2 linked regions of the Coturnix japonica genome follow. The protein of the gene in region 1 interacts with the protein of each later gene in a biochemical or structural test. Links are inferred from orthologs where the notes say so. Each region holds a gene or a part of one and is shown in the gene's direction. Other genes may lie near its edges.

Region 1 (4,026 bases):
GAAGAGATGTTGCCATTAAAATAATAGACAAACTAAGGTTTCCAACTAAACAGGAAAGTCAACTTCGTAACGAGGTTGCAATTTTACAGGTATTTTGCTGTTATTTTTTCATTACTATAAATCATAGAATCTTTTGAGTTGGAAGAGACTCTTAAAGGTTGCCTAGTCCAACTCCCCTGCAATGAACAAGGAATAAATACGAGATGATGTAATTATTCCAGTTGATAATAGCTACTGTTTTTGCTGAAAATTCTAGTATTTTTGCAGCCTAATCTGCATAAATAGTCAAGACTAACAGTACTGGGAATGTTCTGTTAGGATCTATATAATCTCTGCAATCTAAAGCACAAGGCACAATAATGTATTTTTGACTAATTTTAAGTTAATGCATTCTCTTATACCATCCCTAGAAATGTCATGACTATTGCCTACAGATGAAATATAAAGTTTAAATTAAGAAAAACTGAAATATTTTCTGGTTTAGGGGAGCCCGGAGGTTAGTTATGTAATCATTAAACCTACTAATCATATAGAGATATCTGTGTTATTCAAATGTTGTATTTACTTTTACTAGAATCTTCATCATCCTGGAGTTGTAAATTTGGAGTGTATGTTCGAGACACCAGAAAGAGTGTTCGTTGTTATGGAAAAACTCCATGGAGACATGCTGGAGATGATCTTATCAAGTGAAAAGGGCAGATTGCCAGAGAGAATAACAAAGTTTTTAATTACTCAGGTAAGTAATTGATCATAGACCTATAAGGATATTTGAAGTCAGTTGTTATCACTGTTTCATATGTTTTGATCTTGACATAAGTTTTCACCTTCATTCATGAAAGCCTGGATAATAATCATAGAATCATAAAATGATTCTATAATATGATTATTATTAGAATGATTCTATAATATGAATTTTATTAGAATGATTCTAATAATATCAGGGATGGTACATACATCTTTGTGTACATTATCTGATTTCTACTAAGCCATTAAGAGGACCTAGCCATGAATACACATGCAATTGCCTGGCTGCTGGAAGGGAGTGACATCAAGTTATGCGTTCTCTTATGCTTGAAGGATTTAGCACAAGACAGGACTTGAAAACACAAGTAGCAGGCTGCTGAAGAACTGCAGAAAGAAATGTGGGCCTTTTGAATTTCCTCATATTTAATCATTGTAGTTTATGCTATGAATTTCTGTGCCTCTTTTCTGCATTTAGATTGGATCTCAGCACTACCTTTGATAAAATGAGTCTGTCTTCCTATGTGACATCTGTTAACAATGTGATCTGTTTGGGTTTTTTTGGTTTTTGTTGTCATGTTATCATGTTGTTTCCTTGGCTGCCCACAATAAGTTTAAATTTAGATACACAACTGAGTAATGAGCCACCTCAGATTCACAGCAGCCTGTTTTTCTGTTAAGGCAAGAAAAAGAAAGGAGCAGGAACAGTTGTGTTACAGTGGAAGTTTATTATTAGAAATTGAACATAACAAGTTTTCTACCTTTCAGGCTTTCATAGGCAAAACGGTGACCAGCTTTAGAATTTGGTTTCTTGCCTTAATGGGTTCATTCTGCCCCTACCCACTGCCTGTTCTAATAGAGTGGGAAATTCTGGCAGCCTCTGACCAGACAGAAGGAATTGAGTTAAAACCACAGAGATAGGATGAATGTCTATTACACTTCCTTGGCATTTTATTGCACATAACAGCATAAAAATGCATGCAAAGCTCTTTGTTTCATCACCACAAGAAAATACTAAAATTGGATCACAGAATATTTCCATGAAATTTTTTGAGTGAATAATTTATATCTGGAAGGCAACTTTGCAGATGTTTCTGTTTTAAAAGTTTCAACAACAACAAAACAAATGAAGAGAAGTATTCAGAATGCACTTTTCAAAGTTGTTAAGAGCATAACCTCCTTGGAGAGGGAACAGTCATATTTCAAACAGTGAAACATGGCTGGCCTTTTTTTTTTTTTTTCCTTGCACTGTGGACACTGTTGAGAAAGATGCATTCTTGATGGGTTGTTTCTCTCTGCAGCAGTCCTAGATTCTCTAGTCACTATTGCTGTCAAAATAATATAAGCCCCCCAAATATACAATATTTAAAACTTAATTTCATTCTGATTTGTTTCTTCACAGATCCTTGTTGCTTTAAGACATCTTCATTTCAAAAATATAGTTCATTGTGACCTCAAACCAGAAAATGTATTATTAGCATCAGCAGATCCTTTCCCACAGGCAAGTAGAAAATTTCCTTTAAAATAAATGTTTCTTATTAATAAGTGTTAACACTGATTGTTTTATAAAATAAACAACAGCATGTATCTATATTGATTCAAATGACTACATAAAATTATTAGATTTGAATGTCCAAAAAAGTGATGATTCAAGAACTAACTTTTGTCAACTTGATTCATTCAGGAAAAGGTCCTCTATAAAGAAAATCTTCTGTTTGGAAGGATTCTAAGCTGTTTAGCCCTTCCAAAACTTCATTCCCTTCATTCTAGGCTGCCCTGTGTTTTTGCTTTCGCTCTACTACAGTTTATTTATAACATGAAGGAATGCAATGAATTGGTAATCTAGTTTAATACCTTGGTGGACTAAGAAGGGAAGCTTAAAAGAAATAAAGTTTCCTGAAGGAACAGGAGATATGCATTATACAGCTAAACCATGATAAAAGTACGTAAACTGTATTAAATAATAAAAATCTTATTTACTATAGCAGTTCTCTTTAAACAGGTAAAACTTTGTGATTTTGGCTTTGCTCGAATCATTGGGGAGAAATCCTTCAGGCGTTCAGTTGTAGGAACACCAGCCTACCTTGCTCCGGAAGTACTGAGGAATAAAGGCTACAACAGATCTCTGGATATGTGGTCTGTGGGTGTTATCATTTATGTAAGCCTCAGTGGTACATTCCCATTCAATGAAGATGAGGACATAAATGATCAGATTCAAAATGCTGCTTTCATGTATCCACCCAATCCTTGGAAAGAAATCTCTCATGAAGGTAATGTCTGTTTGTGGCTGTTTGTATATAAATGCCAAAAAAGTATGTTCTGCCTTCATATAATAATGTCCCTATTTTGTCATATTAGATGCTTTAGACATTTCCTGCATGTGACATAACCCTCCAGTGTGAGATTTCTCTACGTGTTGAAGGAAGCATAAAGAAGGGTGGGGAGAAGTCTTGGAGAGACCCAAGGAGATTTTTGAAATATTTAAAAAATACATCAATTTCAGTTTCAACAGTGTTTTCCAGTACACAACAAACATTTTCAGCTTAATGGGTTTTTATTCAATAGTTTCTTTATTTTTATTATTATCTTTATATCTTTAACTTCCTGCAATATTGCTTCGTAAGTCTTAAAGCAAAGTAAGTGTTATATGTATCAGGTTTGGGTTTCTTTGTTTGTTTGTTATTCCCCCAGAATTGCAATACATATCAAATTGAATTAAAGGATTATAATTTAGAATTTCCATTTTTACAGTACAGCTACAGATGACCGCTTTTCCTTGGTTTTAGCCGACGTGTTTTACTTACATGTTAATGGTAACTTAAGAGATATGTGCCTGTAGTGTACACTGAGCCACACACTCTCAGCTGTAAAATTCTTTGTGTGTTCCCTGGAATTTTATCTCAGCAGTACAAGTTTTATAATATCTGTTGAAAATACTAGAAAAAAAACAAAAACAAAAAAAAAAACCAAAAACCCAAACAAACATAAATCTGCACAATTGCACACTGATGTCCTCATGAACCTCCACACACCCCTGATATGTAAGCTGACAGAATCTGTTGGCAGCAATGCTTTTTCTGGCGCTAGAGATAAGCAAATAGCAGTCAACACAGAAGAAGCTGCAAGAAATTGCCTCCACAAGTTCTGCTGTGGTAGACAGGAGATCAATTTCTACATTCAGAGGTGAAGATTGAGTAGAACACCTATAGAAAACTCACCTACCAGCCTGTTATCTATCCTTCTACACAGTCACAGCCTTTGTTAAGAGTAAATGGATGTCAGGCT
Region 2 (4,228 bases), on another chromosome or scaffold:
GCTCGCAGTGCAGGAAAGTTGCTCCCCATTCTCATTGCTCTGAAAATACCAAATCTTCTAATTCACACTGTAAATCCATCAATGGCCATTTTATACACATTTGCCTTACATTTAAATAACAAGACCAACACAGTAATTCTTTCTGAAAGAGTTTCATTAACTTCATGAGGAGCATTACCAATAGGCACCTTTTTTTTTAACAGAGTAAATGCATCCCTCCATTGAAATGACCGGCAGTGTCGGTTCACAGCACAGACCTAATGCCCACATGCCTCATCACAGCCCTATCTGAACACAGACAGGAGCACTCCGAGCTGAGACGACAACATCCTGAGGTGATTCAGAGCATTCATCATCCCTTCAGGATGCTGGAGTAGCAGGACATGACTAAATTTGGTGATGCTGGAAGCAAAGGTGAGGGATTTCACTGCTTCACGTAGACACTGTGCTGTTTGAAGGGAGGTTTGAGCCTGAGGCCTTTAGGACCAATGGACATCGATGGTTACTGATGTCAGCGCGGGTCGCTCCCCGCTCAGGGCCCCACGGCACAGCGCCATTAACTCTTCACGAGCAATTTCCTGTCACCGGGCTCCTGGGGCACAGCTCACAGAATGACCCGGGTTGGAAGGGACCTCAAGGATCATGTAGTTCCAACCCCCCTGCCTGGCAGGGCCACCAAACATACACCTTTACTAGATCAGGTTGCCCAGGGCCCCGTCCAACCTGGTCTTGAACACCTCCAAGGACGGGGCATCCACAACCTCCCTGGGCAGCCTGTTCCAGGACCTAACCACTCTCCTAGTGAAGAACTTCCCCCTAACATCCAACCTAAATCTTCCCTCTCTCTGAAATCTCTCGCCCGACCGAGCGGCGGCACAAAGGCAGCATTCCTGACAGGAGACAACGCGCCGGGAGGGCGCCGGGCAGCCCAGCCCGCAGCCCAGCCTCGGCACCACGCACTGTGTCCTCCCACAGCCGCCCTACGGAGGGGGCACCGAGCCCGCCCCGCACGGCCCCATGGCGACACAGCCAGGGAGCTAAAGCACGGGCAGCCCCCACAGCACGGGCAGCCCCCACAGCACGGGCAGCCCCCACAGCACGGGCAGCCCCCACAGCACGGGCAGCCCCCGCCGGCCGCCCCCGCCCGTTCCCGCGCCGTGTCGGTGCCGACCCACCGTGGTGGAGCGGGGGTTGGGCGGGGGGGGGGTTGTAGCAGTATCGCCATGGCGACAGTGACGTCATCTCACCCTGGATCTAATTGGAGGAAACCCCGTGGCCCCAGCCGCAGCCCACGGGCCAACCGAGCTCGCGCCCTGCCCGCGCTCGCCCCCGCGGCGGCGCGCTGCCCTCGGATTGGCCGGCGGGGAGCGGAGGGGCGGGGCCTGGCTCGCAGGAGAGGCCGCGATTGGCCGCGTGGGCGCGGGCCGAGCGGCGGGTAGGCTCGGCCGTGCCAACGCCCTTTAGCGCTGGCTCTCGCCCGCTTCGGGAGCGGCTCTTTCTCTCCGCCACATCCCGAGCGAGGCGCAGCCGATCGGGTGCGGCCCGGCCCGGCCTAGCGCAGCGCAGCGCAGCGGACTCAGGTGAGCGCGGCGTGGGCCGCTTCCCGCCGGCCGTGCCGCCGTGCCCCGCCTCGGCGCCGCGTCCTCCATTTTGTGAGCGCGGCGTGGAGCGCTCGGCGGTGCCGGGTTGCGGAACGAGCCGCCGGGCGGCGCCGCCATTTCGTACCCGCCGGGGCTTCGTCCTCCGCGCCCGGCCACGCTCGTCCCGCTCCGCCGCCCCCCGCTTCGCGGTCCCCGGGGACGAGGCCAACGCGGAGCCGCCGGGCCCCGACCCCACCCAGCGGCCGGGAATGGAGGGGCTCCGTGCCGGGGCCGGGGCCGCTCCCGCCGGGGGGATGGTCCCGCCTCGCCCCGCCGCCAGGAGGCGAAGCGGCCCGAGCTGCCCGCCCGGCCCCGCCCGGCCCCGGCGTTGTCTCCAGCCCCGCTGAGCTGCGGCCTCAGCTCCGAGCGCGCTGTTCTCCTTTCTTTCTTTTTAAATAGCTTTTTTTTCTGTTTCCTCCTTTTTCTTTGCCCTCCCCTGCGGGGTGAAGGCACGTGGGGAAGGCCCTCGGGCTGCCTGGGAGCTGGGTGTCCTGCTGTGCGGCTCCATTGAGCAGCTCTTAAGTGTGTTGGCACAGTAAGGACAAAAGCCGCTGTGGTACGTTGGTACGACTGCCCGGTGCTCGGTCCTCTGGCCGAGGGACTGTGACCCATCCCCGGCTGGGTTTCTGGGCTGTTGCTTCCCCAGGGTGGGCCCGGTACCAGTGCCTGCTTCTGCCCAAGGGAGGGACGGTGCCAGTGCTGCGCCATGGGATGTACTTGGGAATGGGGAGCTCCCTACAGTCCCAGTAAGGGGGCTGCAAGGACACCATCCACAGCGTTGGCTCCTGGAGTCACGGTTGCTGTCCTTCTCCTGGCAGGCTCTGAGGCTCGTTCTCTTGCTGGCAGAGTGACGTCCTCAGCTTCTCCTGCCTTTGCTACAACACTGCCCTCGTCCTGCCGCCGGCCACCATGGATAAGACCGAGTTGATCCAGAAAGCCAAGCTGGCGGAGCAGGCTGAGCGCTATGACGACATGGCCACCTGCATGAAGGCGGTGACGGAACAGGGGGCTGAGCTGTCCAACGAGGAGCGCAACCTGCTCTCGGTGGCCTACAAGAATGTGGTGGGGGGGCGACGCTCTGCCTGGAGGGTTATCTCCAGCATCGAGCAAAAGACAGACACCAGCGACAAGAAGATGCAGCTTATCAAGGACTATAGGGAGAAGGTGGAGTCTGAGCTCAGGTCCATCTGCACCACGGTGCTGGTGAGTGGGGCCTTTCCTTTTTCCGTGTTTTATCAAAAGAGAGAAGCGGGATGCTGCTGTTTTGAGGAGGGTGGGAAATGGGCTGGGCACTATGTGAGCTATTATGCTGGAGTGGGTAGTTCAGTAACTTTTGCAGCTGCCATATTGGTTACTTTGAGACAGAAAATCATCTGCACTTTGCTGCGGGTGCTGTATATGCAGAAGTAATCGAGGTGTGCTAAGCTGTGTTTGAGATGCACATCTGATGGAGTTACCTGTGTGCAGTACTACGCTAGCTGAGCACAGAGATGCAGGGAATTTAGGCTTGTGCTTTGGTTTGTAAGCTAATCTTCACAAGGTAAGCTGAAAAGAAAATGAAAGCCCTTTATTTCTGAAGGTTGGTGCTAGTAACCTGTTAAATGCATTTAAATTAATGGCGTTCATTTAATGTGCTGCTTCATGTGAGGAAAAACACTCTTTAAAGGCCTTAAAGAGGCATTTTTTAGATTTTCTTTCCTAGGTAATAAGGTATGATTTCATAAAGGAAGACATCTTCCTTGAAAGTAGGAAAGAAAAAGGTAGAAATCTGCTTTGTCACACTCAAGTTGATTTAGTGGGGGCTGTTAAAAGTGAATTTGCAGTTATTTTGGACTAATGCACAACTGTGGCTTGGAAACAGGATATTCCATGACAGGTATTGTGCACCTGGGCATGTTTCAAAGCCCAGCAATATATTTCCATGTGAGGAGCAGAATTCCAGATGCTGTTGATGGTGAAGCAGCATTGCAGTGCAGCAGGAGCTCCACAGACCTGTGTCAGCAACATGGGAAGTGTGCAAGCCTGTTGTGTGTGATCAGGGTCTACTGACTGCAGGAAGCTGTGTGTGTGTAGTGCAGTGCTGATGGTGTGGCATGTCATCTTCAGTGGTTAAGCTGTGTATTTTTGATGTCTAGTATTGCAAGCATGAGAAAGGAAGTGAGTAAGGAAATAAACAGTTTTTGATTTAACCCTGAATCGGGTTAGGAGACCTGAGGTTAAAGATGGCTGGTTTGGAAGTAATGGATTTTGCATCTTGAGAAGTGTTTTGGCTCATGTACAAGGGTGCTTTGGATTGTATTGAAAATACTGTGTGCTTCCTCACATGCTGCCTCCTGGATTCGTTTCTAACTGTGAGTCAGAGGCCTTCTATAAAATCACAGAATCACAGAATGACCCGGGTTGGAAGGGACCTCAAGAAACAAGCAAGTCCAACCCCCCTGCCTGGCAGGGCCACCAAACATACACCTTTACTAGATCAGGTTGCCCAGGGCCCCGTCCAACCTGGCCTTGAACACCTCCAAGGATGGGGCATCCACAACCTCCCTGGGCAGCCTGTTCCAGGGCCTAACCACTCTCCTAGTAAAGAA

Evidence for each region.
Region 2: the proteins of PRKD1 (region 1) and YWHAQ form a complex in vitro, tested with the Homo sapiens proteins (2 studies listed by BioGRID). The link is inferred for Coturnix japonica from reciprocal best matches to the Homo sapiens genes PRKD1 and YWHAQ.

The regions. Positions count from the first base shown.
Region 1 is NC_029520.1:31,300,283-31,304,308, forward strand, and holds part of PRKD1 (serine/threonine-protein kinase D1), read left to right. Parts: coding exon 1-89; intron 90-574; coding exon 575-736; intron 737-2,143; coding exon 2,144-2,242; intron 2,243-2,743; coding exon 2,744-3,011; intron 3,012-4,026.
Region 2 is NC_029518.1:87,878,912-87,883,139, reverse strand, and holds the start of YWHAQ (14-3-3 protein theta), read left to right. Parts: upstream 1-1,428; 5' UTR 1,429-1,580; intron 1,581-2,458; 5' UTR 2,459-2,549; coding exon 2,550-2,843; intron 2,844-4,228. UniProt on the Homo sapiens protein: Adapter protein implicated in the regulation of a large spectrum of both general and specialized signaling pathways. Binds to a large number of partners, usually by recognition of a phosphoserine or phosphothreonine motif.